Alligator mississippiensis: one gene and its partner. The protein of the gene in region 2 interacts with the protein of the main gene of each other region in a pairwise test. Links are inferred from orthologs where the notes say so. Each region holds a gene or a part of one and is shown on either strand. Other genes may lie near its edges. The genes, in order: PDCD7 and FEZ1.

Region 1 (15,301 bases), on a different chromosome or scaffold from region 2:
TCAGACTGTCTTATGGTAAAGTTATCTGACAGCAGTGGCCCAAGTGTCACTGGTAGGAGGAGCTGGGAGGACCCATCCTGGAGGGATGCAGCTTCCTTCAGGATGATCTGCTGGTACCAAATACCGGTCCCATTCATGCCTGGAAGAGGAGAATGTTTACAAAGGATGTTTGTTCCGTTTCACTTCACCCATAAGACTGCTTATGATATGCTGATACACGTGCATTTCTTTTCATACTGTCTGCTACGTAAGTCAACTGATAAGATCACTCTCTGAATTACATTCTTTAAAGCAAAAGCTTGAAGGCTGAACTCAGATCCCTACAAACAAACGTGTAAGTTCTAAATGTATAGGGTGTGCCATGGCCACCTTTCTCAAGCCACAGGCCAGAACAACCCTGATCCAGTCTGACATGGACTGGGTGGCCTACATAGCACATCAGCTTGGGGGAGAGCCACGTAGCTGGGAACTACACCTGCACTGCTGGTGTTTTTCTCTACCCCCACCCCCCAGAAGGGAGCAGTGCCAGGCTCAGGCCAGTTAAGGATGGGGAGGGCAGTAGTAGTGTGGGAGCAGCTTCCAGCTGCCCAGCCCTAGTGCAGCTCCTTGCTGCTCAGCCCCTGCAGGGGTGGGGCAGAGGCAAAGCCCTCCAGTTCTATAGGCCTTATGCTGCTGACCCTTGCTCTAGGACAGCAGCTCCCAAACTCTGACAGATTGTGCACCACCAATTTAAAACAATACAACCTGAAGTGCCACCAGCACTTAAGGTGGGGGGGGTGTGCACATGTGTGTGTACAGTAGAGTGTGGGGAGGTGTGTATGGTGGGGTGTGTGGGCGAGTTGTGGGTATGTGGGGTTTGTGGGGTGCGAGGAACCTCCACACTTCCCCCATGGCACAGTAGCAGGTGGGGGTGTAGCTCCGGCCAGCACTGCACATCACGTATCCTTCGTCAGGCAGTCTGTATCGCCAGCACTCCCTGAGCACAGGAGGGAAGCCCAGCACTGAAGCCAGCTGACTTTCACACCCCCCAGGGGAAGGCACCTGGGGCTTTCTTCCCATGCTGTGCAGCCCCAGTGAAGAAGGCAGCCAGCTCCAGCACGCGGGGCTTCCCTCCAATGCCCACTGAGTGTGAGAGCTACACACATGTGCAGAAAGCACTGGTGACAGACAGGCCAGAACAGGCTGTGCCTCTAGTGATGAGCAGTGCTGGCCAGAGCTGTGCCCATCCAGGTGCCTGTGCATCTGAGTGCCCCACCTGCTGCTGCTGCCACCACCTGCCAGGCCTGCGCGCCATTTGGGGGGGGGGGGGGGGGGGGGGGGTGGAAGCACAGGGGGTTCCCCCTGTTGCTTCCCCACCTGTTGCCTGGAGCCAGCAGGACACTGGGAAGTGGAGCAGGTACCTGGGGGCTGCTCCATCTGGAAGCTGTGTGCTGGCGGGGCCAGGCCCCTCTGCCCACAAGGGTAGGAGCAAGGCAATAGGGTATGTTTGGGGCTGTGTGTACATGTTACATGTGCGTGCCTCATTCCCATCCTCATGGGTGGAAGGTCTGGGTGGGGCATGCAAACCACTGGTGGTATGCATACCACAGACTGGGAACCACTGCTCTAGGATATCACTGTAGAGAAACCAAAAGTAATGTATCCAAATTATCCAAGTTTTCTTAGCCTCATAAGGGTGAATAAGGAAAACAGAGATTTATAACCACCTGAAGAAACCTGATTAGTATTTGTGAGAGATAACTTTGTATTCACAAGTCGGTGAACCAGGAGAGGCTGCGATTTTATCTTTAAATATATCTATATAACCAAGTGCCACTTTAGTATTGTATGCAGTAAAGATGCTGGTTGCTCTCACCTGATCTGGATGAGGACTGGTACAGAATGCTCAGCTTGTAAATAATACTGTTGGAAGGGTCGCAGCAGATGGCCAAGGGGGAACTCATCTGTTACAACACATTAAAAATTATTCAGTAAAATGCCACAAATTCCAGCTCAACAAAGAAAGCCTAGACAATGAAGATGCCTTCCTGACTTAGCACTTTGCCACTCTATAACTAACGCTTAAATTAATGTATGAATTAGCAAATAACTTATCAGAAAGATCTACATTCAAATTGGCATCAAAAGTTTCATACTGAAAAAGCACTACCCATATATATGCAAGCCCTCCTCTTCACTGCCCAGCAGGGAAACACACAGTACTAGATGGGAAGGACAAATAGCATTGGCTGAATGCCAGTACTAAAGCATCTACACCGTGGGAGGTTTACCACCTAAACCAATGGTGTGCAACCTTTTGGTGCAGCTCCCAGCTGAGCAATGTGGAACCCCCCTGCGTGCCAGGACTGGGCCCTGAGCCACCTCCAGCTGGGCCCTGTGTGCCCAAGACCAGGCCCCGGGGCACCGACATGCACCATCCAACATGCTATCTAGCCCACAGGACTCCCCACAGGTCCGGAAATTTGGCAGCAGGGGAGCAGTAATTGCTGCCACTGTTCCCCCACGAACAAGTTTTTGGGCCCCTGCAGGCCAGCTGGCATGACTCCAGGGGATGGATCTGGCCCATGGGCCAGGGGTTGAGCATCTCCAATCTAAACAGCCAATTCAACCTAAACTGCTTGGCTTGCAAGATGTGACGAGACACTAGTTTATGACATGGTTAACATTTCCAGTTCTTACTGCCACACCTTTTGAATTTGATAAATTTAATGAAAGAACTTGACTGAACTCGTGTCATCTCCACATCTTCATGGCATCACCTATTTCAGCACGTCGGCTTTTGTAAACAAAGCTTTATGCTATCACTTTAACCATAACCTTGCTGGTTTTCACAAAAACTCCCCAATACCAAAGCAAAATTTGCAGCCACGTACCCGGATTGCCAAACAGCACAGACTCGATTTCACGTTTCTGCTGCAGAAGCTTCTCTCTTTCTTTCTTCTGCTTCTTTTCCATTTCTCTTTTCCTCTCTTCTTCCTGCTCTCCTTCTAACATGACTCGTAGAGCTCTCTCTTCAGCTTCATACAGTTCAGTCCGTTTTTTAATCAATGTCCTCATCTTCTGAATATTATGTTCAAAAGCTTCATCTGCTGATGGGGGTGGACAGACACCTACAGAACGAGAGCGAAAACTTCAAAAAAAAAAAAATCAACCTCGAAATCAGTTTCACACTGAGAGGCAATTCGCAGCATTTTGGACAAACCTGCGTCTAAGTCAAGAATTTTTCTCGCAGCTATCTTTCGATAAAATGAGTTACGTGGAGGAGTTTGGAATGGGAGTGAAGCTGCTATATTCCACATGCTAGAAAACAGATCCTTGAAGGCAGTATTATAAAAGCATCCAATTAAAAATTTACAAGTCTGGAATAAAATCTGCCAAAGCAGCAACCTTCCCAGTGCTCCTTCCAGCAAGGTAGCTGGCACATGAGGCTTGTTGGTTACGCTCAAGGATGCTACAGAATCTTCCTCTTGGTGTGGCTATTTGGTACACTCACTGTACACTATTAAATACATAAAACATGCGATTGTTCATGTCTACCATTAACTACTACTTCTTCATCGCCATCACTATTAAGTCAGAGAGTCTTACCAAAAGAAGCCATTGATCGGGATGGGCAATTATTTTGGGCAGAGGGCAGAGTTTTGGCAAGCCATCGAGGGCCCCATGACAGGCAACCAGGGGCAGATAAATATTAATTCTCTAAATTTTTTAGGGGCTCTGCAGGCCAGATAGGTTGGTCTGGCGGGCCACAACCAGCCCATGGGCCGCATTTTGCCACCCCTGCGTTAAATAAAGGACTTAAAACAGATCAAAGGTACCCATTAGAGACCAATATTTTGCAAAGTCAGGGAGTGGTAATAGGTTAAACTGAGGAAGGCCTTATTAAAATAAATACCAAAAAGCCACCGAGAAAGCCCGAATCAGGATTTAAAGCATTAAGAGCTCTCTTCCAATAAAGCCCTTAAGTGAACCTTTTGCTTATGAGAAGAGGACACTACTACAGCCCTTACGCTGTCTGAACCCCTCAGAAACTTACTGAGGGACAAAAGCTGAGCAAGATTTTGTTGTTATCGCACTAGAGTCTCACCAGAAAGCGTGCGTTATTTCAACGGTTGCATGAACTAGAGAGATATATTTTGCTTTACTCCATAAGCAGCCAGAAAGAAGTGAGGCTGCTTGCAAAGTAAACGACTAATTAATATCCTGTCTTGTACCTGGTCTTTAACAGGGTTTGGCAAAAAAAAATAAAAAAATCCCTTCCCCCTACTGAAATTGCTCGTTATTGCCTGCATTTATAATAGTTCACAAAAACCGCACCAAATTTACCTTTTCTTCCTGCGGCTTCTTTTCTCAGTTTTCTAAGCTTTTCTAAGCCCCGAAGGATTTCCACCATTCTCTTCGTGTCTGCCTGCTTCCTCCTTACCTCCGACAAGACGCTGTCGGCAGCCGCTTTGAGCTCCTGCTCCTGCGTTGGGGGGAAAGCAGAAAGAAAACGTGAGCCCCGGCAGGTACTCGCGAATACAGACAGCGACAAGAAGCGTAAAGGGAAGAATAACTGAAATCCGTAACGGCGTCCCAGGACTGACGAAGCGTCTCATCGACAAAGATGCGGGAAGTCAAAACAGCACATTTTAAAAGAGAACGAAAAACACGGCAGAGGGGCCAAAAACGAAGGCAGCGGTTGAGGGATACGGAAACAGGACGTCCTTTCAACCTTAACTCAGCGGTCCCGAAACTTTTTCAGTGGACGTACCCCTCGGTCTCCGAGTGAGACTTCACGTACCCCCGTTCAACGGGGATTAGTTAACACAGGTGGTTAGACAACGTATAAATATCTCGTGGGCCCCGGTTGAGAACCGCTGCCGTAACTCTTCCGAGCAAATACATCGGGGAGTTTAAATGACAGAATTATTTAGCGACTGAGCTAGACGAGGGGTGCTCGTGCCCAAAGGTTTGCCAAAAAAACAAAAAGGAGGAAAAGAAAGGGGAGGGGGTTTTTTTTGGGGTGGGGGGGTGCCCCGCTCACCCGCGCCCTCTCGGCCGCCTCGTGCCCGCGCCGCGCGCGCCACCGGTCGATGAGGGCCTCGCGCTCGGCGGCGCGCGCCTCCTCCTCGGCGCGGGCCGCGCGCGCCCCCCGCCGCCGGCGCCGCCGCTTCTCGCGGGCCCGCGCCGCGCGCTCCCGCAGGGCCGCCAGGAAGGCGGGGGCGCGCAGGGGGGCGGCGCGCTCCCGCAGGGCGGCCAGGGCGGCCCCGGCGCGCTCGCGCTCCCGCTCCGCCTCGGCCCCGCGCTCCGCCCCCGCCTCCTCCAGGCGGCGCAGGGCCGCGCAGCGCGCCGCCACCTCGGCCACCAGCGGCAGCGCCCCCGCCGCCAGCGCGCGCGCCCGACGCTCGCTCGGGCCCGCGCACGGGGCAGGCGCAGGGCCTGTGGGAGGGGGAGGCGGGGGCGCGGGCGGAGAGGGAGGGGGAGGGGGAGGCGCGGGCCGCGCGCGCCGCCGCGACATCAACTGCGCCACCCACTGCTCGTCCCGCTGCCGCTCCGCGCCCGGCCCTGGCCCCGGCCCCGGCCCCAGCCCCGGCCTCGGCCCCGCGCCCGGCCCGCAGCCCGGCGGAGGCGGCGGCGCCCAGGCGGGCGGCCCGGGCCGGCAGTAGGCGGCGGCGGCGGGCAGCAGCAGCGGCGGGTCGGGGCCGGGCGGCGGCAGGAAGGGCGGCGGCCCCGGGAAGCGCGGCCCGGGCGGAGGAGGCGGCGGCGGCGGCGGGAAGCCGCGGAACGGGCCCGGGCCCGGGCCCAGGCCCGGCGGCGGGAAGCGCGCGGCGAAGGGCGGCGGTGGTGGAGGCCCGGCCATGCTCCCTCCTCAGGCGGCTGGAGGGGCGGGGCCGCGCTCGCTGAATATGCATGAGGGGGCGGGGCCTGCGGGGCGTTGACTGACTGCGCACAAGGGGGCGGGGTCAGACGGTGACTGCAAGCGAAGGGGCGGGGCCTGGCGGAGTGACTGCGCACGAGGGTGGGTGTTGCGTGCGCGTAAAGATGTAGGGGGGCGGCTGCTGCTGAATATTTATGAGGCACAGTGGATAGGTCGGCTAGTGATGAATATGCATGAGGTGGGTGGGGGAAGACAGGTGGTCCAGAGATGCCTATGCATGAGGCCACACACACACACGCGGGTCCAGTGGTGAATACTAAAGGGGGGGTTGGCGTTGGGGATGGTGCAGAAGGTGCACGAGGAGGTACAGCACGTGGGGGGCGGGGTGCTGGGGGCCAAGCTGGTGCTGCCTCGCCCAAGCAGCAAGGCCCGACTCGTGCGGGGCCAGCGGCCCCCCTTGCTCCTCTCCTCCAGGGCGGGCGTGGGACAAGCAGCGCCTTGCCGCTGCACAGGCCGGATCTGGGCTAGCACGTGCACGCAGCGGCTAGCAGGGCACAGGAAGAGTCGCAGCCAGCAGGCTCTGTCCCTCCCTCAGGCACATGGCACAACTCCAAGGTGGGAGGCAGATGTGCAGGCCGCAGGAAGGCTACTGCGTGGGGACCAGGAGAGCGAAAGCTCCTGGTTTCACCTGCCCTCGCACCTAGAGATGAGCCTGCGTCAGCAAGTGGGATGACAGAGATCGGCGGTTCATGAATATCTGCTGTTTTATTCAAACGCCAAAGCTGGTTTGGAAGTACAAAGAGTAGTTACACAGCATTTTGTTTCTGTAAAAACTTTTCTTGATTACACATTTCTCAACAACTTTCAAAACTAAGTTGTTTGATGGTTTTCATTAAAATGGCCTTCAGTCCGTTTGGAGGAAAAAAGGTAATTTCTAACAGAATTAAAAGCCATTTTACTTTTCACTCTACAAAAAGGAAAAGGAGGATAGGATACCTAAGTTACAGATACTGGAAGTCAGAGAGTTTACGCTAGGTTAAACCGATCACCTGAATCTTTCCTGAGCTTTGAAAGTAGCCTTTTCTGACCTGTGACCAGAAAGAGAAAAACATCTGCTGCATCTGGTTTAAAGTCATGTTTACTATATCTGTTTTCTAAAAGCACATAAAGTATGACATGACTTTCTTATTTAAATGTTAAACCCTAAACTATTCATGAGACAATGGGGACTAGGACCAATAAAAATCAATAGTACCAAAAACTTTTACTGCTATTACTAGACTAAAAATGGTAATGAAGGTTTTCATTAGCAAGTATGAATCAAAATTCAGGAACAGGACTTAGGAAAAGCTAGACTCACATATCACTGTAAAGAATAAAGCAGTTGTAGATAACCATTTTAATTTTTTAAATGAATCAAAAGCCATACAAGTCCTTTAGAGTTTTCACAAACACTTTCCTAAAGGATTATTAAATTTATTTGGGTGTAAAACAGAAATCAAGGGTCTTTGCTTTGCTGCAAATCTAAAAATCAAGAGACAAAAACACAAGATGCAACACCAGCATTTAAGCGTGTAACTTTAAAAAAGCATGGTCATGTGTACAGTCACTATTGATTACATCAAAATTATTATACAATAACTTTACTGTCTTCATCTCTTAATGTTATAAGAAGATAAGGTTGGGCAAATATCTGGCACCAAAAAATTGATGCACAATAGTTCCGATAATTCGAACAAAATGCATGTATTAGAACATAAATATTTTAAAACGTTATGCCAACATGGTATATCCCACTGCCTTTACATCTTCACCGTCCTCCACAAATCCAGCAGGTTTCACCGGCTCTCTCAGTATTCCAGATGCTCTGTTAAACCTATAGCTAATGGCAAGGTAAAGAAGTTAGGAAATGGCATTAGATATTGTATCCAATTATTGTAAATGTGTTACATTTTAGCAGACTTGCAGAAAAGGGTCATAAAGCAGTATCTGAGGTTTGGAAAATCCAGTTTAGGGCATGTCTCAAGACAAATGTAACAAATCCCTCCAGCACCCATTTGGTTCTGAAAATGAACAGAAACTTAACACTGACCTGAACTTAACCCAAGTGAATTATAAGACGAATTCATAGTTTATCTATCCTCTAGTTAATATTAAGCTTGTTTTCCCATTTGTAGAGTAATATTACCATAAAAGTTTTTTTAGCTGTTGGCAATAACTGCATTGGGTTTAGTTCCAGAAAACAACCCAGGTGTTGCCAAGCTTGTTAGAGCTTTTTTTTTTTTTTTCAAACTGAACAAAAATAACGTACAATTTATACTCGACATTATGCCACCAAAGTCCAAATAATGTCCAATGAAGAAAAATCAATGTGATGATACAATAAATACATGATCTGATTTATTTAACTGCAAGTTTTTTGACCATGTATCATATGCCGGATAGATCCAACGCCTTTAGTGTCAGACTGTAAAGCCCAGTATGATCTTGTAATAACCAAGTGTGCTTTATGCAGGAGAGCCTTTTGACAGTACTTAATTGTTTGCAGCGTCTGCTTGACGAGGCCAGCCTTCCTCTTCAACTCCGGAGTCATACTCTTCCTCGGATGAATCTTTAGTCGGAGTCCTACAATTAAAATGAACTGATCAGGTATGTTAACATCTGAGAAGAGAATGGAGGCAGGATGACTGGAATGGAAACAGCACATTGTCTACTTTAAAACACTCAGGCCAAAGTTTCATTTTAAAAACCCAATTTATTTGCTTGAAAGAGTTCATCACAGAATTCTTTTGTGATAACTGGCAAAGCTTAAGCTTGGACTAACGCAGAGCGAGTGACACTTATTCTGCACTTAATTCAACTGTTACTGAGAGAATACTGGTTTACACTGCAGCGGTTCCTTCTACAGCAGAAAATCAACATGCTGAATTAAGCCTCAGCATCAATGTGAAGTAAATAGCAGCATTATTTCCATTAGTCAGAAAGACAGTATGTACCATAATGAATGCCACGTGGGAGCTTTACGAGACCTACAACCCCCGACTCCTAGTCTTGTCTCTTAAACACAAGACCTCTTCCCACATCTGCATCACTAGTTAACGAGACTTAAAAAAATCACCCTCTGTCCAAGTCTTTAGATGCTCTAACTCATCACTAATATAATATCATCCTAGCAGCACTGAAGTCATCATTTCAACAGGAATTCAGCCAACCAGCCACCTCCAGGAACTCCTTTCCCCATCCTTTCACCTTTGTGGGAAGCAGAGCCTCAACCCCTCTCAAGAATACCAGCAGAAATATCTTGCAAACAGCCCGGGTAGCCATCAACTTTGAGCTACTTCAGACTAAGGGAATCAGAGGAGCCAGTTTTGATTTTTTTCTCCAAGAATTTCAATGCCCTGCCTATTACTAAGGACTAACAATGATAATTCCCCCCCTTCTTCAGGAAATTCAACACAATCACCCATTTAAACAGAGTGTTATATGTTCTTGATAAAGTCATTGTACTATTTACCCACAGACAGGCACACGTCAAGTTAAAACAAATGTCATGTATTTACATTTATTTGGTAATTTACAGTTATTTTTATATTTTTAATCAGAAAGAAGCCAAGGTGTCTCGACTATGTAGCAAGTGCCCTTTACCTACTGTGTATGGCACATAGAAAGAAGGATTCTTGGTTTTAAAAGGTGCGCACAATTTTTATTTTCTTGTTTCTAACGCACCTAATTGACAAGCAGTAGGGCACTTGCCTAGATGTGCTACCAGTCTGCTGTGGTATTGCCATTCCTATTTTACCTAATGTATCCTGGCTCTTTTTTGCCTTCTACAACATCTTTGTCGACCTCCACACATACAATATCAGAATTCGGTACTTCGAACATGGGCTCCAACAACAACTTCTCCTACGAGGAAAGAAAAACAAACGTGTATTTCACCTAGTCCTTCACACAATAATGGTTGGTTGGGTACTCTGTTAGAAGAAATCTGACTACCCTTACCACTGGGAAAAGGTTTATTCTCCATAACTGAACATCCCACTTAAATTACCCTTAAAGAACAAGCTCTCTTGACAAGGACAATGCGCATAATTCAAATACATCTACTCAGGATGCAAATAATTAGTGCTACTTAATAAAGAGCTCACCATTATAGATCGAAGGCCTCTTGCACCAGTCTTCCTGTCCAGAGCCAGTCTGGCTATGGCTTTCAGTGCATCTTCAGTCACATTTAATTCACACTACGTGTAGAAAAGTAACATTGGATATTTTATTTGTATGTCTAACTTCTATGTTTTCCCCATCTTTCTTTTAACTGTGCTTGTGGCAAAATTGCATGCGAGTATTTTTAAATGGCTAGGTCATCCTTTGGTAACTTTTTCCATACAAAGTATTCAAACATAGAAAGATCTCACCAGAGCCCTCTGGATTGCAGCATCTTCCACTCTTATTTTGGGTTTTTAAAACCTTGCCACTGGTCCCCTGGACTATGCATATAATTCACTGTGAAAAAAGTAGTCCAAGGTCTGTCCCAAGCCACAGTGTTTTGGCAGATTGGCATGGTTAAGTCAGGTTAGTTTCTGCAACCAACAGCACACGAGTGTGATATGGCCAGTCATGCTGGCCGTCTTAGGTTCCCTGGTCCGAGGATGGGGGTTTATACTAGGGGTGCACTGATAGAGGTTTTGGCGGCTGATACCGATAGCTGATTTTTAAGGAGGCGTTATCAGCGAATACTGATCCGATTTCCGATATCAGCCTGGCAGTTTGGAGAGCTGATGTCTGGTGTGGTAGAAGGGGAGGAGGAAGGGAAGGGGTGTGGCGATTGGGGCAGATCAAGGCCCCCACAGAGAGGGAGGAGTGGGGCTGGGGCAAGCATTGCCCAGCCAGGGTGGGGCAGGTGCAGGATGGAGCTGTGGCTAGTCCAGGGGGTGGCTCCTGCCACTGCGCGCCGCTCGTCCAGTGGTTCATCTGGAGCTCACCTGGTGGCTCTCACCACTCGTCTGGGACAGCACGGGGGGGGGGGGGGGGGGGGGGGGGGGGGGGGAATCCTCCGGATCCGTGCAGAGTGCACTGGGGCTGCACCAAGCTTTTCCCAGCTGGGCTCAGGCCAGATGGTGACGGTCCTGGGAGGGGACTACAGCAAATTCTAGGGTGGCTGCAACCCCCCTTCCCCTCCCCCCGCCCAATTCCCAGAGCCACGGTTGCCCAGCCTGAGCCCAGGCCAGCCAGGAAGAGCATGGTGTATGCCCTGCCCCAGCCCACCCTGGGCAGATCCGAGCAGCAGGAACTGCCAGATGTGCAGGCAAGCACCAGACGAGCCGCTGGATCAGCGGTGCGTGCTGACACCTCCCTCCCCGCACCGCCAATCCGCAGCTTTGTCCCAAGCCCACCCCATCCCAGCTGGGCAGTGATTGCCCCAGCCCCACTCCTTCCTCAGCGCAGGGGCCTTGATCTGCCCCACCCATGCTCCTTCCCTTCCCCCTGCTCCGTCTTTTCTACCACACCAGACTTACCAGCTACCAGCTGTGCTCCTCACTGCCTGTGCTGCGCTACAGATGTGCGCGTGCATGGGCCATTTATCAGCCAAATTACTGGCCTGATATGGCTGATTTCTAATACAGACATTTTTCTTTATATTGGTGCCGATCTGAGATCAGATCAATGTATCAGCGCACCTCTAGTTTTCACCAGGACCCAATCTAACCAATTACATTTTAACTAGCTTCCACAAAATAGTCTGTTCTAACTAGTTTTTGTGCAGGTAGAAATGGTTCAATTTTGATATTACAGTAAAAGCTGTGTTATCCGGCATCCCCTGGGAATGGGGGATGCTGGATAATAAAATATGCCGGTTAATTGAGTGGCCCAGATCACCACTTCTCCCACCATGTCTGGGGCATCCCACTGCCCCTCCCACGGCATCGCCACCCCTCCCACCGCATCACCGCCCCTCCTGCGGGCCCTGCAGGCCCCGTGGGTCAGGGAGGCGGGCCCCGCACAGCCTGTTATGCCCCCTGGGCCGTGGGAGCTCAGCATCACAGGCTGCTTTGCCCTGGGGGCTCAGAGAAACCAGAAGTGCCACGGTGGGCACTTCCAGTTTCACTTTATCTTACAAGCCGGCATGCCAGTTAATTGAGCATGCTGGCTTGTAAGATACCAGTTAACAGAACTTTTATTGTAATATAAAAAGTCTCTATAGTAGTCCAGGGCCTTGAACTAGGTCCAAACAACGTAAACATGACCTGTTATGGAAAAAGGCCAGAGTAGCCTTATAGACATGGTACCAAAACAGCAGAGCAGGGGTGGGCAAAATATGACCCCCAGAGCCCCTAAAAAATTAGACAAGTAATATTTATCTGCCCTGGCTGCCTGTCAAAGATGACCCAGGAGGCTCCAGTGGCAGGACCCAGCAGCAGCAGGGCCTGCCTGCCCCCCACCTGATGCCCAGCTCACAACTGGAAGCTTCTGCCTGCCAGAGGCTTCTGGCCTGAGACCCTGGGGCTGTTTCACACCTCTCTCTGTCCAAAAGTGGAGAATCAGATGGGTGGAGCAGGAAAGGGGAGTGCGGGAAGAGGATCGCCACCACAGTAGGAGCCAGCCGGCTCCTGCTGTGCTGTGCAGTCCTGGCCATGCAGCTGGGAAGCCCGCCGCTCTGGCAACACATGGGGGTGGTGTGTGGGGAACATCGGGGGGGGGGCATGGTGGCAGTGGTGGGTGAAGAAGGGAAGTGGCAGCAGGCACAGGAAAGAAAGTGGCAGCGAGTGGGAATGGGAGCAAGACCCAGCTAGAAAGCGTGGGGACTGGGCTGGCTTCTGCTGCTTTCTGCATTGCAGCCAGGAACCACACGCTACCAGGAGGTGCCTGGCCAAGCCGGCCAGCTCCGTGCCACACTGCGCTTCTCGGCCACAGTGCCGGGACCACAGAATGCAGCAGGAGCCAGACCGGCCCCTGTGGTTCCCAGCTGGCTCCTGCTGCCGCCTCTATGGCAGAGGCTGTGCACCTGCAGCTCCCACACTCGCAACAGGGGAAAACCCACACTGCAGCCGGCTGCCTTCCCTGCCTCCTGCTGTGGCTCTGCTGGGAGTGGAGGGAGCCCCAATTCCCTGCTTCACTGCAGAGTCCAGCAGAGCACTGCTTCCCCCAGTGCGAGTGCGGGAGCTGCAGGCATGCAGCACAGAGCCTCCATGATAGAGGTGGACAGACAGGCTGTGCTCCTCCCCACTACGGCCTGTGCCAGGCATGAGCTCCCTAAGCCCCCCTGCCTGATGCTGGCATTGAGGGCTGCATGCCATGTGGGGGAGTGGGGGTTCCCCACACCCCCCACCCTCCCTCATACCCCACAAACCTCCATCCCCACATATACACCCCCCCAAAACACCCTATGCCCCCCCACAAGCCTCCCACCCCATCATACACACCCTTCCTGCCACACAATATAAAAGTGAGATTATTTTTGAGTAATTATGCAATGCCTTCTATATACACTACACAAACAAATCATGATAAATGATTCTGTAATAAAATTAAAATATATTTTAATTATGGAGCTGAGGATGGCAACCCAAGTAAAAGACAACAAGAAATTGTTTTTTTAGATATATTGGGAGTAAAAGGAAGGCCCAGGGAGGAACAGGACCCCTGCTAAATGGGCAGAAACAATTGGTGACAGATAGGGGGGACAAGGCTGAACTCCTCAACGAGTTCTTTGCCTCAGTGTTCCTAAGCGAGGGGCACGACAAGTCTCTCCCTGGGGTTGCAGAGAGGCAGCAGCAAGGCGCCAGACTGCCATGCGTAGACCCTGAGGTGGTGCAGAGTCACTTGGAAGAACTGGATGCCTTTAAATCGGCAGGCCCGGATGGGCTCCATCCGAGGGTGCTGAAGGCACTGGCCGACATCATTGCAGAGCCACTGGCGGGAATATTCGAACACTCGTGGCGCACGGGCCAAGTCCCAGAGGACTGGAAAAGGGCAAACGTGGTCCCCATTTTCAAAAAGGGGAGGAAGGAGGACCCGGGCAACTATAGGCCAGTCAGTCTCACCTCCATCCTTGGTAAAGTCTTTGAAAAAATTATCAAGGCTCACATTTGTGAGAGCTCGGCAGGGCAAATTATGCTGAGGGGAAACCAGCACAGGTTTGTGGCGGGCAGATCGTGCCTGACCAACCTAGTCTCTTTCTATGACCAGGTTACGAAACGCCTGGACACAGGAGGAGGGGTGGATGTCGTATACTTAGACTTCAGGAAGGCCTTCGATACGGTATCCCACCCCATACTGGTGAACAAGCTAAGAGGCTGTGATGTGGATGACTGCACAGTCCGGTGGGTGGCGAACTGGCTAGAGGGTCGCACCCAAAGAGTCATGGTGGATGGGTCGGTCTCGACCTGGAAGGGTGTGGGCAGTGGGGTCCCGCAGGGCTCGGTCCTTGGACCGATACTCTTTAATGTCTTCATCAGCGACTTGGACAAGGGAGTGAAGTGTACTCTGTCCAAGTTTGCAGATGACACAAAGCTATGGGGAGAAGTGGACACGCCAGAGGGCAGGGAACAGCTGCAGGCAGACCTGGATAGGTTGGACAAGTGGGCAGAAAACAACACAATGCAGTTCAACAAGGAGAAATGCAAAATGCTGCACCTAGGGAGGAAAAATGTCCAGCACACCTACAGCCTAGGGAATGACCTGCTGGGTGGCACAGAGGTGGAAAGGGATCTTGGAGTCCTAGTGGACTCCAAGATGAACATGAGCCGGCAGTGAGACGAAGCCATCAGAAAAGCCAATGGCACTTTATCGTGCATCAGCAGATGCATGACGAATAGGTCCAAGGAGGTGATACTTCCCCTCTATAGGGCGCTGGTCAGACCGCAGTGGGAGTACTGCGTGCAATTCTGGGCGCCGCACTTCAAGAAGGATGCGGATAACCTGGAGAGGGTACAGCGAAGGGCAACTCGTATGGTCAAGGGCCTGCAGACCAAGCCCTACGAGGAGAGACTAGAGAAACTGGACCTTTTCAGCCTCCGCAAGAGAAGGTTGAGAGGCGACCTTGTGGCTGCCTTTAAGTTCATCACGGGGGCACAGAAGGGAATTGGTGAGTATTTATTCACCAAGGCGCCCCCAGGGGTTACAAGAAATAATGGCCACAAGCTAGCAGAGAGCAGATTCAGACTGGACATTAGGAAGAACTTCTTCACAGTTCTAGTGGCCAAGGTCTGGAACGGGCTCCCAAGGGAGGTGGTGCTCTACCCTACCCTGGGGGTCTTCAAGAGGAGGTTAGATGAGTATCCAGCTGGGGTCATCTAGACCCAGCGCTCTTTCCTGCTTATGCGGGGGGTCGGACTTGATGATCTATTGAGGTCCCTTCCGCCCCTAACATCTATGAATCTATGTTCTAGTACGTGTTTAACTTTTAGTGTATGATTTGTTTTTTTCCTGGTTCTAAGATGG
Region 2 (15,063 bases):
TGTTTCCCCAGCCCCCCCCCCCCCCCGCCACCTCCATGGCTGCCCCGTCTGTCCCAGCTCCCAGTGCTTTAAAAAATAGCCCCACTCAATGGGTGCTGCCAGGTGGGTGGGATCCCTGCTGTCCCCCACTGCCCCACGCTGCATGGAGGGCTCTGCCATGAGCCTTCCTCCCCCTCTCTCCTCCCCCAGCCCTCCCACAGTTGCCCTACCCACCCCAGCTCTGGTCCTTTAAGAAAAAAAACTGAGAAAAACCCCAGGACTCACCACTCCTGAAGCAGGCTTGGAGCTTTGCGGGGCTTGTGCAGAGCTCCCCCATGCAGCACTGAACAGTGGGTGGCAGCAGGGATAATGCCCCCCCCCCCCCGCTGGGCAGGAGCAGTGAGTGCGGGGGTTTTCTCATTTGTGGGTTTTTTTCTTAAAGGGCCAGAGCTGGGCCAGGCCGGGAAGCCATGGGTGGGGGCTGGGACAGCAGGGGGTTGGGGTTAGGGTGCTTGTGCAGAGACCCCCATGCAGCCTGGGGCAGTGGGGGTCAGCAGGGATTTTCCCCCTGCCCGGCAGCACCCGGTGAACCGAGGCTTTTTTTGCCAGGAGCTGGGGCAGGCGGGGCAGCCATTGCCAGGGCTGGGAGAGTGGGCGGGGGACGGGCCTGGGTAGTGCAGAGATTCGAAGATTTGGCTGCTGCCCATCTCCAAATCAGATTTGGCCGAATCAATCAGGACAGTGATTCAAATCACTGAATTGAACCACTGTCTTCCAAATCAGCTGAATCTGAAGCGAATACTAGCTACTTCACACAGGCCTAATGGGCAGCCACTGGTCAGGGATGATCTAGGCATAGATATGCCTGTTTTCTCCCATAGGTATTTCCCATGCTTTGTGCTTTGTTGGTTTCCACCCTCCCACCCCCCCTTGCTGCTATGTATCAGGGTGTTTTTAAGTTTCCCCAGAGGCACTGGCTGTTGACTACAGCTAAGGCTAGGAACTTGGCTGGAATGTACTGATTCTCTTGCTATGAGCAAAACCAGAGGTTCTTGGCTAAAAGGCCTTGCCCCTCCACTGAGGATCAGACTGATCGTCATATGTGGGGTCAGGAAGAAATTTTACCCCATTGTATGATTGGTATAGACTGTATGGGTTTGCCTTCCTCTGTATCGGGGGGTATGGACCTCTACCTGGGAACTCATGAGCATATATTGACCACATTTTATAGAAGTAGGACATTGGCTGCCATGGTTTCACTGCTTTACCTGTGGCAGGTTATGGTGTTAGGTTTATGTTGTGTCAAGTTTGAGGGTAGTCTTATGTTGAGTTTTGATTATGGTTGTATGGGATGGTTTGGATAGAGATGACCCTGCCTCTGGAGGTCCCTTCAAGCCATCTTTATCTATGATTCTGTGACTCCCCACTTTCTGGGTATGCAGCGAACATGACTTGGAGGGACAAGACTACTCTTAGGGAGCCCACCTTCCACTCTTCCTTCCTTCAATTAAGATACCATCCCTGATTCACCTTATCCACAGTTCAGAGAGCACTTTGGTCTTGGTTTACATAATACTCCATGTAAATAGCTGAAATGTTTCACATAAAAAAAATATTTTGGTTAACCAACAGGTATGCACATTATCCTATGTATTGGCTTGCCTCCTGCCCTGCAGTCCAGCACCTTCAGAATAGTTTGCCAGAGCATCTCTTGTGAATGTCCTGACTTTTGCTGTGTTCATGGGCTTAGTCTATAGTGCTCAGTACTAGAACCTCCAAGGTTATGATCATTTGCTCAATTGGCTGTTTCCTGGCATTCAAGTGTCTGATGTAAGGGCTTTATGAACTATGAGAGGAGCAGATGAGTGGAGTCCCCAAGTAACATGGGGGTTATGGTCATTCCCTTCAACATGATACTAGCAAGTCCTGTATAGTGAAGAGCACTATGCTGGAGTTCTTGTAGCCCCCAGTGTCATAGACCTTGTCTAACCACTCAGTGTTTATGTTGGTGAATTGTTCCTGGTTGTCCACAATACCCTGCGGCATGATGGAATAGGAGATGGAATGAAATAGGAGACCCTCACACCTGATGTACTTCAAACTTTGGTGCACAGGGCATGTGATGACACTGTCAGTGCTATTGATGACCATAATGCACTTAAGAAACCCCATGCAAGGAGCTTAGCTATGCCCTATAGAAGGTTGGAGAGTACCAGCACCTTGGCATGCCTCAGAGATCCAGCCATGGACTTGCCCACACTGAAGTGGCTGGCTACAGACTGGTGGTGTTGTCAGGTTCCAGATGGTAAGTGCCACTCACATCTCCATAGACAAGGGCATTCTTACATCAGTGGCTTTCCCCTGATTGAAACAGGAGCAGGTCAGCACAGATCTCTGTAAAGATGGCTCACCCTGAAGCTCTGCCATCACTACATGTTGTATAGGGTCCTTGTGTCTATTTGTCCACGTGGCGGGCCAGTAGGGGGTGCTCCTGCGTTGAGCCACCCACCTCGCTATGCCCAGCCACCTTCCAGGCTCTGAATACCTCCCTGGGGGTGCCTCATGTCTGTCCGACCCCCTTCATGGAGCACATCTGCTAGCCTGGGGTAAAAACTGCCACCACCCAGGGCTGGGCTTTATTCTGGCTCTGTGCACCTTGGGAAACACAGGCCTAGTAGCCCTCAAGGGTACTTGACTCACTTTAAGCACTTGGGATGCTTCCCTCGGTTGGAAGCACAAGTAGTGGTCTCCCTTAGTCAGCCGAACCAAGGGGACCCCAAGGTATAATCTAGACCCACTCCCAATAAGTATCCCATGCTAGGTACAAAGGAGAACTTTATTGGTTACAAGGGGTAGGGTTGGAATAGGGTACAGAGTAGAGCAATATCAGATAAATCCCATAGAGCAAACTGGCATGGCTGGGTAGCCTTTGATCACACATCTGAGTTACTGCAAGCTATATATCTAGTTAGATCTCAGGTAGCTTACTCACAAATATCACCCAGAGGCAGGTGGCTATTCCCTCTGGAGGCAGGCAGTTCCTTGATCATGAGTTTTGAGAAAGAGAGCAAGTTTCAGATGGTCCAGCTCTTCTCTCTCTCTCTGAGTCATCCTCATGGCTGCTGCCTTCTCCTCCTGGGCAGTTCTTAACTTATATAACCCTTATGACCTCATTTACCTGGTCCAATGGAGGCAAGCACCTGTTGGCTGTCAGCCAACCAATTTGAAATGCATCACTAGTTGTTGGGCAGACTGGTAGTTCCTAGCTCCCCAGGTAGTCCAAGCCCCTCACGTGATGCCAGTCACGTTAGCAGAGGGAGCAGGTTTCCCCCTCCTTCAGGAATGTATTCAGGTCAGGTTACCTAAAGAGATAGGGTAAGATGGGCCCTCTTCAGGGCCCATCTTAACCAAACTGTCACAGAGCAGAGTTTTTGGGGAGAAACAGAGGTGGCCTTCTGCCACAGGCCTCACCAGGCCTGGATCATATCCCTGGCACAGAAACAGTGGTAACTGTAGGGGAGGGTTGCTGTATGCAGGTTGCAGGGTCACTTAACAGCAAGGGGGCTGAGGTTGGGGCATATAAAGCCAGCTTCTTGTAATGGAAAAGGCAGTCTGGCCCTGGCTGCTGAAGGCCATATAGCTCCCAGTAGACCTAGTTGCAGTGAGAAGACAAGCCAGTCCAGGGGATGTACCTGGTAGGCAGGAAGTAGAGGCCTGCAGGGAAGGCCCTACGAGGAAAGGCTAAGGGACCTTTAACCTCTTCAGCCTCTCCAAGAGAAGGCTGAGAGGGGACCTTGTGGCAGTGTACAAATTCATAAGGGGAGAGCAACATGGAGTAGGCGACGATCTGTTCACTAGGGCACCCCCTGGAATGACAAGGAACAATGGCCATAAGCTACTAGAGAGAAGGTTTAGGCTGGACATTAGGAAAAACTTCTTCATGGTCAGGGTTGCCAGAATCTGGAATGGGCTCCCGAGGGAGGTGGCGCTCGCCCCATCCTTGGGGGCCTTCAACAGGCACCTGGCTGGGATCACATGACCCCAGGGTTGGTTACTCTTTTCTTGCCTGCCAGGGTCAGGGGCTCGGACTAGATGGCCCACTGAGGTCCCTTCTGACCCTATGAATCTATAAGTAAACTGGCTTAAATAGGACGGCTCAAGGACAAGAGCACCAGAGGGTTTTACATTTGACTTAGGTTAGGTCACTGTTTTGTGTTTGAGTTTTACCAGAGGATTGAGTTCTGGCTACATGGGAGGAAGAGGCCAAAGTCCCATCCTCCACCCTTCATGAGACATGTTGTTTCTGGCTGTCCACTGACAAAGCCTGGGCAGCAGAGGCTTGAAGTTGCAGCAAAGTAGATTTACATTGGATATCAGGAAAAAATTCTTCACTCTGGAGAGTCCTGTAGGCTGGATGACATGGTTCTGTGGGCCAGATCTGGCTGTGGGCTTGGGGCTGAGCACCCCGGGTCTAGATCATTCCTGACTAATGTTTATCCAACCTGTTTTTGAACGCCTGCAGTGTTGGAGGGTCCACAACTCCCTAGGAAGTCTATTTCATAATCTTAAAGTCTGAGTGTTATATATACTAATCAATCCTCATACTAACCTGTGTTCCATCGTGTCCTACAGCAGTAAATGATGGAGATTATTGGAATGATAAATTTGGCTTTAGGTGCCTAAGTTCTGTTTAAATTCCTTTCTGAGCATAGACCTCTGTGCTTTACTCTCCCTAGCTCTAAAGTTAGGATAATAATACTGCTCATGGGAATGTTGTAATGATAAATTCCAATGTTTTGAGAACTTGTTTACTATGATGAAAGTAATATAGAAATATTCCAATATAATAAAAGCCTTAACACTTTGGTCTGTGTATCTGTCTGTCCACAATGCTCTGGGCCAACTGTGCATGTGCAGCCTGGAGCCTTATGGACAGAGAGACACACAGGTGAAGATGGAGGCATTTGGGGCCAGGGTGTGCTACCCACTGCGGGGCATGGCAGGGGGAGTGGCCCCAGGCTATGGCGTGGGGCGTGTGACCATGTGGAGGCTGTGGCACGTGGTACGTGGTGTGCCGGCTGTGGCCGTGGGGTGCGCAGGATGCGTGGGGATCTGTGGCATGGGGTGCGTTGGGCGGGGTGTAGTGCAAGGTGCATGGGGTGGGGTGTGGTGCGGAGGTGCATGGCCATAGGGCGCCATGCAGGGACTGGGCACGGGGGATTTGGGCAGTACCTGCCAGCTGCAGCACAAATCCGCAGGGTGGTCCCCCATGCCCGCTCCCCATGCAGCACCCTGTGGCCAAGTGTCACACTCCCTGCAACTGCGTACCACGCCCCCCCCCCGCCCCCCCATGACTGTATGCCAAGCCCCCTTGCATGGACAGCGCCACATCCTGGGGCCACTGCCCATGTCACGCACCATGGCCATACGCCACTTCCCTGCTCAGCCGTGTGCCATGCCTCCTTTGTGCAGAACTGCTGGGAGTGGGGGTGGAGTGAGGCTGGACCCAGAGTGGTAGGGGGAGCAGGGCATGACCCAGAGAAGCCATGGGAGGGGGGTGGAGCAGAGCAGGACCCAGAGTGGTAGGGCCGGGGGGAGGGGGGCGGGGGGGCGGAGTGCAGTACCTAGAGCAGCAGTGGGGGGAAAGGGGGAAGCTAGGTTGGACTTCGAGCAGCAGTGGGAGGGCACAGGGCCGGACATAGTTTTCTGTCCCCAGGCCCCCATCCCTGCCATCATTCATGATGGGCATTTTGGTTGTATATGATAACATTAATATTTTATAATCAAGTTTTGTGTATGCATTAAATAAGCCTTGAGTTTATGTGCATTAAATGATAGAGTTACAAAGAAAAATTGAAAAAAATACCCTTTCAGTGAATGAGACCAGGGTTGTATGAAAATAATAGAATGTGGCATCAGCATAAGGAGAAAAATTAAGTTTGCATAGGCATTCTGATTTCTGGTATTTCTTAATTATTCAGTAATGGGATTTGCAACCTTACAGCTCTTTTAAGTTTTTTTCAAAAAGTGTAATACAGTATAAAGCTAGACAATACATATTGTTTCAATTAGTAAGTAATGTTCTTTGAACCCCATCATGCTCAAATGTATTCTCTATATTATTTTCTGCGTGTATAAAGGGACACAGTAAACTTCTTGTAAATTCAGTAACATCAGAATTTACGTTCTGGGTCTCTCCTCTTTCCTTTCCTGTTTCCCCAGAAGTGGATAGGAGCAATTTTGCTGCAGTCATTTTCTTTCTCTCTCTGCAGCTAAACGTTATCTGCCTAAGGTATTGTTCCATGCTCAACCACTTCAGCAAAGCCTTTTCTTTTTGACTTCATGCTTTTCTGGTTGGCTGCTTTTTGCCACAGGCAAAAAAGATGGGGAAAGGATCTGGCACCATTTTAATATGTTCCTTTCCTAACTTCTTTTCATGCACAGGAACTGTGCGCCCCAAAATTGACCCTAAGGCTCAGCCGAAGAAAAAAAGAGCCATTGTTAATATGACGGGCTGAACTATCTGTTTACAAGGGAAATCAGGACTAGGGTAGACCCACAGCTTGTTCTGAATAATGGCAATGCCCATGAACCTGAATTGACTCCACCTTCCCCGAGCGTGCTAGTAGTATATAGGGAATCAATCAGCGATTTTAATGACTGCCTCAAAATGGCTTGCAAACCGAGGCAGAACAAGCCTTTGTTGTTGCCAGAGAGCTTTCCCCCTTATATATATTTTTTTCCTGGAGGGTGCTGGACAGCTGCTGGTGCGGAAATGTGTGCCTCTGTGAGTCTGAATAAAACCTTTGCCAAGTTCCCAAATGGCAACAGCATTATAGAGACAGCACGCTTGCCTCATTTCTCTGAGGTCTTTGTGAAGCAGCCTCCATTTTTATTGGTTTCTCCGTCAGAAGCAGGCTGGCGGGGTGCTCTGGAAAGCAGAGCTGGCCCGCGTCGTTTCTGAGAGCCTGGCATTTTGATTTAGGGACAAAATCGCTGTCCTGCCAAAGACTGCTGGCTGCCACAGAACCCACCGAGCACCCAGAGTGGGGCTTCTCCCCGGGCAGCGGCTCCCGTCAGCGTCTGCCCAGAGAGGGCCTTGCACATGGAGCGGGATCCGCCGCGCTGCTGTCAGCGCATATTGCTCGTGCACCGACTGCTCATGCATATTGATGAGGGAGGCTGGGAGGGCGGATTGCGCGGCTCTGCAGAGCGCGCCTGTCAGGCGGCAGGGGCAGTCCTAGCGCCGTCCGCCGCTCGCCGCTCCGTGACTCCGGCGGATGGGATGCCCCGCTAAGCTCGAGGCTGCGTGTTCTCAGAGGCGCTTTGCTGGCCCCACGCCACCCTCAGGTGCGTGTTTCTCTCTGTCCTTGCAGGGGAGCCCCGGGGGTCGGGGGTTCCGTGCGGCCGCTGGGAGCTGGCCCCGGGGATCCGCTGTCTTATTCCCAGAAGAAGCCGGGTGCGGCCGGGCGGCGGGGGCAAGCGGGCTTCCAAAACCCTTCAAACTGGTCATTCATTCTTTCGGCTGCTGAAAAGATTCCCCCTCCCCCTCTGCCTCCGCCTCCCCGCTGTGCGCAGAGCCATTGTGTGTGTCTGTCGGCGCCATGCAGGCTTGGGGGCTGGGGAGGGCGGGGGCGCGCGGAGGTGCCCATTGTCTCGGTGCGATTTGGAGCGGGAGGCAGGTGAGGGCTGGCGCGCGACGGGAGGGGCTTCTGGGGCGCTGGGACTCTCATGTAGGCGTGCAGAACAGCGGGGAGGGGCTCCTGCCCTGCTGCTGAATGGGGATTTGGGGCGGGTTGCAGAGGGCCAAGGGGCGCCTGTCAGCTGACCGTGCGCGCGGGCGCCGCGTGCAGAAGCCGCAGAGCGCGCACGGAAGCGGGCTGCAGGAGGCGTTTTGGTGAGGGACTGGGGTTTTACGGGAGGAAGAAGTTGCCGGGCTGGAGAGTCGTGTACTTATGTCTGCCTGTGGAAGGCTGCGGTTTTCAGGAAGACAGGTTACGCTCTTGGGAGGAGCATGGATATAGGGTGCAGAGCCCCGTGTGTGTAGCATAGGGGCGGGCAGTTCTTTTGGGCAGAGGGCCGCTTACTGAGTTTTGGCAAGCTATCGAGGGCTGCATGACATGCAGCCCAGCGCACATAAATATTATTTAAAAAAAAAAATGTAGGGGCCCCGTGGGCCAGATAGAATGGTCTGGCGGGCCGCATCCAGCCCCTGGGCTGCATTTTGCCCATCCCTGGTGTAGCAGATGCTGGGTGCTACCCGGGCTGGGTCAGTAGAATTTGTTCGGACGTGGATGCTTAACGGGTTTGTGAGAGGGGAGGTATGGTGTATGCATGCTTATGGAAGGAGTGTGCTTGCAGAGTAGCTCTTATGCATGTATAGGAGAGGCGCCATGTGTGCGCAAACATGAGGGAGGGGAAACTGGTTTTGCATGTGTTTATGAAGAGAAGAAGAGCACTCATAAACGGGTCTCTTCAGTCTGCCTTCTGTTTCCCAGTTTCATGGGCTTTAAAGCCAGAAGGGATCATTCAACCATCTAGTATGGTCCTGTGCACACTCTCTCTCTTTATTATGAGCTACTACATTTCACCCAGCTATCCCTGTGTTCAGAGACTTCAGGGAAGCTGAGATGCCTTCAAAGAATAAAATGTTGCCTGCCATAGGAAGGGATCAAGATAAATGGAGGTATCACCAGTAAGTAAGGACTCTGCAAGGGCAGGGAACTGATTAAACAGGAAGAGTCAAGATGGGCTCACTGATCCACACTTCATACTGGAGAGAAAGTGAAAAACCCTCCAAGTTCCTGCCAGTCTGATCTGAAAGAGAATTCCAAAGCTGGGAATCACTGTGACTGAGCATGTGAGCAAGGCAGACCATTCAGGTACATAAACAGAGGGTTAGCTATACCACCCTGGTTTGGTCTCAGGTCTTTATCTGCAAACAAACTCTAATGCTTGAGGAGTGACACTTGACCGCTGACTTGCAGGCTGAATCTGGCCCCCAGGGCCATGTCAACTGCCCCACGGGGCTCTCGACAGGTTTGGAAATCTGATGACAGGGGAGCAGTGACATCATTGTCACAACTTCCAGAACCATAGGAGTTGATACTGATACAACTCCACTGCTGCCAAATTTCCATTGTCATGGAAAGTATTACCAAATTTGCCCATTACTTTGGGGTGTGCTCATTTATTAGGGATAGTTTCTAGGGTCTTGGTGATTCTGTCAATGTGCTGCTTGTGTTACTATACGGAGCTGTATTTCTCCCTTCTGCAAGCCCTCACCCCCAATGGAGCTATCTTGCAGGACTCAATCTCAATGGGACTGGGTTCCTCCAGCCACCAAATCAGTCATACACACAAACACACGCAAATTAACGTGACACACCTGACCTGGCCAGGCTGATCAGCATGGACAGGCTGACACCCTCATATGCCAAGAATCAGTTCATAAGAGCAACATAAACTGCAGTCAGACACAAGCACACAGGTAAACAGAATCCCTCTGAATCCGGCTGGGTGTCCAGCTGACACCCTCATGGGCCAGCATTCAGTTCATAAGGGCACGTCTGAGTCAAACTGGGTCAATCAGCCTGTACAAGCTGATCCCCTTATGTGTTTCAAACTCAGCACGTCCCAATCTTTGGCCTCTTGATGAGCAGACCCCACAATAATTTTGGGCTTCACAGGGATCTTTAGCATAGGTAAAAGAAGCGTTGCTGCAGAGCATGGGAGGAACGAGAAGCAGAGAAGGAAAAATATACCCAATTACTACCAGTTTGACTATAAAAGTTATTTATTGCTAAGCATATGAAATATATAATAGTACTAGTAGTAATAGACATGCAAAAGAAAAACAAACACCAACAATGACAATACTACCCTGGTTTCACTAAGTATTTGGGGAAACTTAGCTCAAGCTTAACTAATACAGTTCAGGTTCAGAAGTTTATGCCTGGAGAGGAGAGAGAAATCGAGCGCTGGGATCTCACCTAATCCACGGTACTCAGGCTCCAAAGCTGACAGGCACAGTCCGTAGCACAATCCTTGAAGAGAGAGATGAACTGTTCTTCCAGCGTCCCAAGAATGACAGGGGATGGTGTCAGCACAGGGGTTTTCTTCTTCTTTCTTCTTCTCCTTCTTTCCTCCTGCTGCTGCTTCTTTTCTTTTTGAAGCACACACACTTACAGATTTTTATACCCTCAGTTCAGCTGCTTCGAAGCACCCTCAGTAGTGTAAATCATTGTCTTTTCTATTGACAAGGGGTTATCTGGTTTGGACCATCTCAGGAAACTGATTGATAATCAGGAAACACTTAAGATTAGGGAGTAACCAAATACTTGGGAGCCAGCTTGAAATTCCTATGTATGGCAGATATACTGATGGGATATCTCATGGTTTCTTCAGGAACAATAGATAGCTTGCAGCATCAGGATTTTGGATTTTTACTTGTTGTGCACAAGCCTCAGCTTAGCATGACTTTTCCAGATCTTACTATAGTCTTTTAACAGACTTAAAGCAATTAGTGGGGTGCTCATAACCTTTTGTGGAGAGGACTTCCACCAGTCGTCTTGGGAAAGATATGACAACACATGGGATTAGGGCTCCAGCAGGCTGGATACTGTGATGAACCCTTAACCATTGTTCCAATGTTGCCCATACCCCCCCTGACTCGGTCTCTTGCCTCAGCATTCCTTAACCCAGCAACCGAGTTTTAGTCAATCAAGTTTAAATAGGCCTCCCATAGTGGGACCGGGGAATGTACGGCCCGAGATGCCTATTAAACTTAGAGCTGTGTGTGTGTGTGTCTGGGGGGGGAAAGTCCTTAGCAAATCCAGATTAGAACTGGTCTGATAAATGCTGAGCTGGGTGTGTGTGAACATGGGTTGATTAACATTGGAAGCACAGATTCCTCCTCATGCAGCGCTCTCCTGCTTCTCTGGTCCCAGAATTCACTGCTTCAGGCTTTCTGTTTTCCATCTCTCATGTAAATGAATGGTCATCTGGTTCCATCTCAGATGTAAATGAGACCTAGGGCAGTTGATTCACTCTTGTCACCCTTATCTGGTGAGGGTCTTAGGTGCGTCTCTCACTGCATCTTAATCAGTTTCATTTAGGTAGAGGAGGGGAGGGGGGGGGGGGTGAGTCCATTGTGAGTCAGACAGACTGCATCCTGTGCCAGGGTTGCCCAAGAATACAGAGCTGAGGCGTAACAAAAGGCCCATGGGCCAGATAACATGACCTCACATGCTGGATTGCACTGGTGCACAGAGTTGGGCCACAGCTGGATCTAGTGCAGGGGTGTGAAAAATGCGGCCCATGGGCCATATGCGGACTGCCAAGCCATTCTATCTGGCCTGCGGGGCCCCTAAAAAATTTAGAAAATTAATATTAATCTGCCCTGGGCTGCGTGTCATGCAGCCCTCGATGCCTTGCCAAAACTCAGTAAGTGGTCCTCCGCGCAAAATAATTGCCTGCCTCTGATCTAGTGTGTGGAGCTTGGCTGGCATGCAGGATTGGTCTGTGGCCATATCTGATGTGCAGGGCTCGGTTGGCATACTGGATCACACCCATGGACCAACTCTGCACTGACCCTACAGCGGATCTAGCCTGTGGACCAAACCCCATCTACAGGATCTGCCCCATGTACCAGCCCTGTGCCATTTATTTAGCCCACAGGGCTGGAAGTTTGAGCAGCACTGCTTCAGAACAGAAGGTATGCAATCCCTGGCCCAGCTATGGCCCATGGGGCCTGGTCTCAGCACACAGGGCCAGGTGGAGGTGGCATAGGGCCCTGAAGCAGTGCAGGGCTTGATTCCAGTGCACAGAGATGGTACAAGCCTGAGCTGTGTGCACAAAGCTGGGTGGAGGTGCTTCAAGGCCCCATAGCCTGATCCCAGCATGCAGGGCCTGGTGTTCCAAGTGTATGGAACCTGGCAAAGGTGGTCTGAGCCCTAGAGCCTGATATCTGCACACAAAGCCTGGTGGAAGCACTGCAGGATCCCAGAGCCTGATCCTGGCTTCCAGAGCCTAATGGAGGTGGTGCAGGTTCCTAGGGCCCTGACCCTAGCATGCAGGACTGGATGGAGGCAGTGTGCGGTCCAGGGCCCCAGTTCCTGCATGGGGGGCTGGGCAGGAGCAGCATGGGGTCCCAGAGGCCTGCTTCCAGTATGTAGGACCAAGTGGAGGCAGCATGGGGTCCTAGGGCCATGGGGTCCTGTAAATTCCATGTGTCCCTGGAGGCTGGGGGGGGAGGGGCGTGGCGAGCTCCCGCAGGCAGCTGAGGCACTGTTGGCAGCAGAGGGGTGGGAGGCAAGTGCCGACCTGCAGTTGGCAACCACCCGCAGATGCCGCCTTTTTACATCTGTGTGCACCCCCTATGCGTTGCCAATGCAGGGCCTGGTGGGGGCAGTATGGTTTGAATCCAAGTGTGCAGGCTTGATTCTGAGATTGGGGTCAAGTCCAGCCCATGGATCAGTCCCATACTCCTCATTTGGCCCATGGGGCCACAAGGTTGAGCACCACTACTTCAGAGGATGGTGGGAAAAAACAAATGAAAACAACAGCAAACAATACAATGCAGTTGAAGAAACAGAAACATTACTGATTGCAGCAGACAACAGGCTGAAGCCTTGCATGATGAGATTGCCTTAAAACCATTAACTTAAAGCAGAGCTGTAGGGGTGCACTGATAGAGATTTTTGAGGCCGATACTGATAGCCGATATTTAAGGAGGCATATCAGCTGATACCGATCTGATTTCCAATACAGCTGCCTCTAGCTGGTAAGTCTGGTGTGGTGGAAAGGGAGGTGGTGCTCTGGTGTGCTCATAGTGCTCTGATTTGGTGCCAGAGGACTGGAAAAGGGCCAATGTGGTTCCCATTTTCAAAAAAGGGAGGAAGGAGGACCCAGGAAACTGTAGGCCAGTTAGTCTTACCTCCATCCTGGGTAAGCTTTTTGAGAGAATTATCCTGGCACATGTCCGCGAGGAACGAGCAGGGGAGGTTATGCTTAGGGGCAACCAACATGGGTTCATTAGAGGCAGGTCCTGTCAGACCAACCTGGTGGCCTTTTATGACCAGGTCACAAAATCCTTAGATGCAGGTGTAGCAGTGGACATAGTATTTCTGGACTTTAGGAAGGCCTTCGACACTGTCTCTCACCCCATTCTCATTAAAAAACTGGGGGACTGTGGTGTTGACACCTACACAGTCAATTGGGTCACTAACTGGCTGGAGAGGCGCACCCAGAGAGTGGTGGTGGACGGGTCATTTTCGACCTGGAGGGATGTGGGCAGTGGGGTTCTGCAGGGCTCGGTCCTCAGGCCTGCACTGTTCAACATCTTCATCAGCGACTTGGACGAGTGGGTGAAAAGCACCCTGTTCAAATTCACAGATGACACTAAGTTGTGGGGGGAAGTGGGCATGCTAGAAGGGAGGAATAGGCTACAATTGGACCTGGACAGGTTACAGGGGTGGGTGGATGAGAACAGGATGGGTTTCAAAACTGACAAGTGCAAGGTGCTGCTCCTGGGGAAGAAGAACCAGCAGCACACCTACAGGCTGGGGAACTCCCTTCTCGTCAGTGCAGAGGCAGAAAAGGATCTTGGAATCATTATTGATGCCAAAATGAACATGAGCCGACAGTGTGCGGACGCAGTCAGGAAGGCCAACCATACCTTGCCATGCATCCACAGATGCATCTTGAGCAGGTCCAAGGAGGTGATCCTCCCCCTCTATGTGATGCTGGTCAGGCCGCAGTTGGAGTACTGCATCCAGTTGTGGGTGCTGCACTTCAGGAGGGATGTGGACAACAAGGAGTGGGTCCAGAGGAGGACCACTCGCATGATCAGGGGCCAGCAGGGAAGGCCCTACGAGGAGAGGCTACTGGACCTGAACCTGTTCAGCCTCCACAAGAGAAGGCTGAGGGGGGGATCTACTGGCCATTTACAAACTAGTCAGAGGGGACCAGCAGGCATTGGGGAAGTCCCTGTTTCTCCGAGCACTACCAGGAGTGACTAGAAATAACGGTCACAAGCTGGCAGAGGGTAGATTCAGGCTAGACATCAGGAGGTGCTACTTCAGTGTCAGGGCAGCTAGGATCTGGAACCAACTTCCGAGAGAAGAGGTGCTGGCTCCTGCCCTGGGGGTCCTTAAGAGGAGGCTAGACGAACACCTTGCCGAGGTCGTTTGACCCCAGTACTCTTTCCTGCCCATGGCACGGGATCAGACTTGATGATTTACTCAGGTCCCTTCAGACCCTACAAACTATGAAACTATGAGGGGGGGAGGGAAGGGGCGTAGTGGGGGAAAGATCAATCCCCCCTGCGATGCCAGGCGCTGCCCAGGCAAGGCGGGGCGGGGAGGCCACAGCTCATGGGGGGTGGGGGCTCTCGCCACTGCTTGCATCCCGGGAGGGCGTTGGGGGAGGGGGGGCCTGTGCCCCCTGGATCTGCATGGGGCAGGGCGGGCTGCAGCTGGCGCTGCGTGGGGCTCTTCCTGGCGGGGGCTGGGCTCGGAGCGGGTGCCAGTGGCACTGGGAGGATGCTGCATCCACCCAAAATTTTGCCGCCGCTCCTCTCCCAGAGCGGCTAGAGCCAGCTGCCTGGTTCAGCCCTGGCTCAGCGTCTCGCGTCCACCCACATGTTGGGAAGAAATGGGGCTGTGCCATGTGGCAGTAGCAGTGTTGGGAGCAGAGCAGCAACAACATTTGGGGTGCATGCAGCATCCTCCCAGTGCCACTGGTGCCCGCTCTGTGCCCAGCGCCCACTGAGGAGAGCCCCAGACAGCCCTGACTGCAGCCCGCCCCACCCCATGCTGATCCAAGGGGCACACGCCTCCCCATGCACTCCCAGGGTGGAAGCAGCGGCGGGAGCCGCCCTACCCCATGAGTCGTGGCTCTGACCTCCTCCCCCACCCTGCCCCACCTTGGCAGCACCTGCCCCTGCTCCCTCCCTCACCCCTGGGGCCATTGATCTGCCCCCACTCCATGCCCCTTCCCTCCTCCCTCCCCTTCCACCACACTAGACTTACCAGCTGGAAGCAGCTCTCCATGCTGCTGGCTGTGCTTTTCGCTGCCTGAGTG

The links.
Region 1: the proteins of FEZ1 (region 2) and PDCD7 interact in a two-hybrid assay, tested with the Homo sapiens proteins (2 studies listed by BioGRID and IntAct). The link is inferred for Alligator mississippiensis from reciprocal best matches to the Homo sapiens genes FEZ1 and PDCD7.

Annotation. Positions count from the first base shown.
Region 1 is NC_081834.1:6,475,648-6,490,948, forward strand, and holds the start of PDCD7 (programmed cell death protein 7), read right to left. Parts: upstream 5,858-15,301; 5' UTR 5,843-5,857; coding exon 5,027-5,842; intron 4,466-5,026; coding exon 4,327-4,465; intron 3,111-4,326; coding exon 2,874-3,110; intron 1,944-2,873; coding exon 1,856-1,943; intron 140-1,855; coding exon 22-139; 3' UTR 1-21. Other genes in the region: CLPX (ATP-dependent Clp protease ATP-binding subunit clpX-like, mitochondrial), read right to left, coding at 8,395-8,485, 9,660-9,766, 10,009-10,101. UniProt on the Homo sapiens protein: Promotes apoptosis when overexpressed.
Region 2 is NC_081839.1:18,275,112-18,290,174, forward strand, and holds the start of FEZ1 (fasciculation and elongation protein zeta-1), read left to right. Parts: upstream 1-7,206; 5' UTR 7,207-7,329; intron 7,330-7,639; exon of another isoform or gene 7,640-7,661; intron 7,662-7,830; exon of another isoform or gene 7,831-7,876; intron 7,877-15,063. UniProt on the Homo sapiens protein: May be involved in axonal outgrowth as component of the network of molecules that regulate cellular morphology and axon guidance machinery.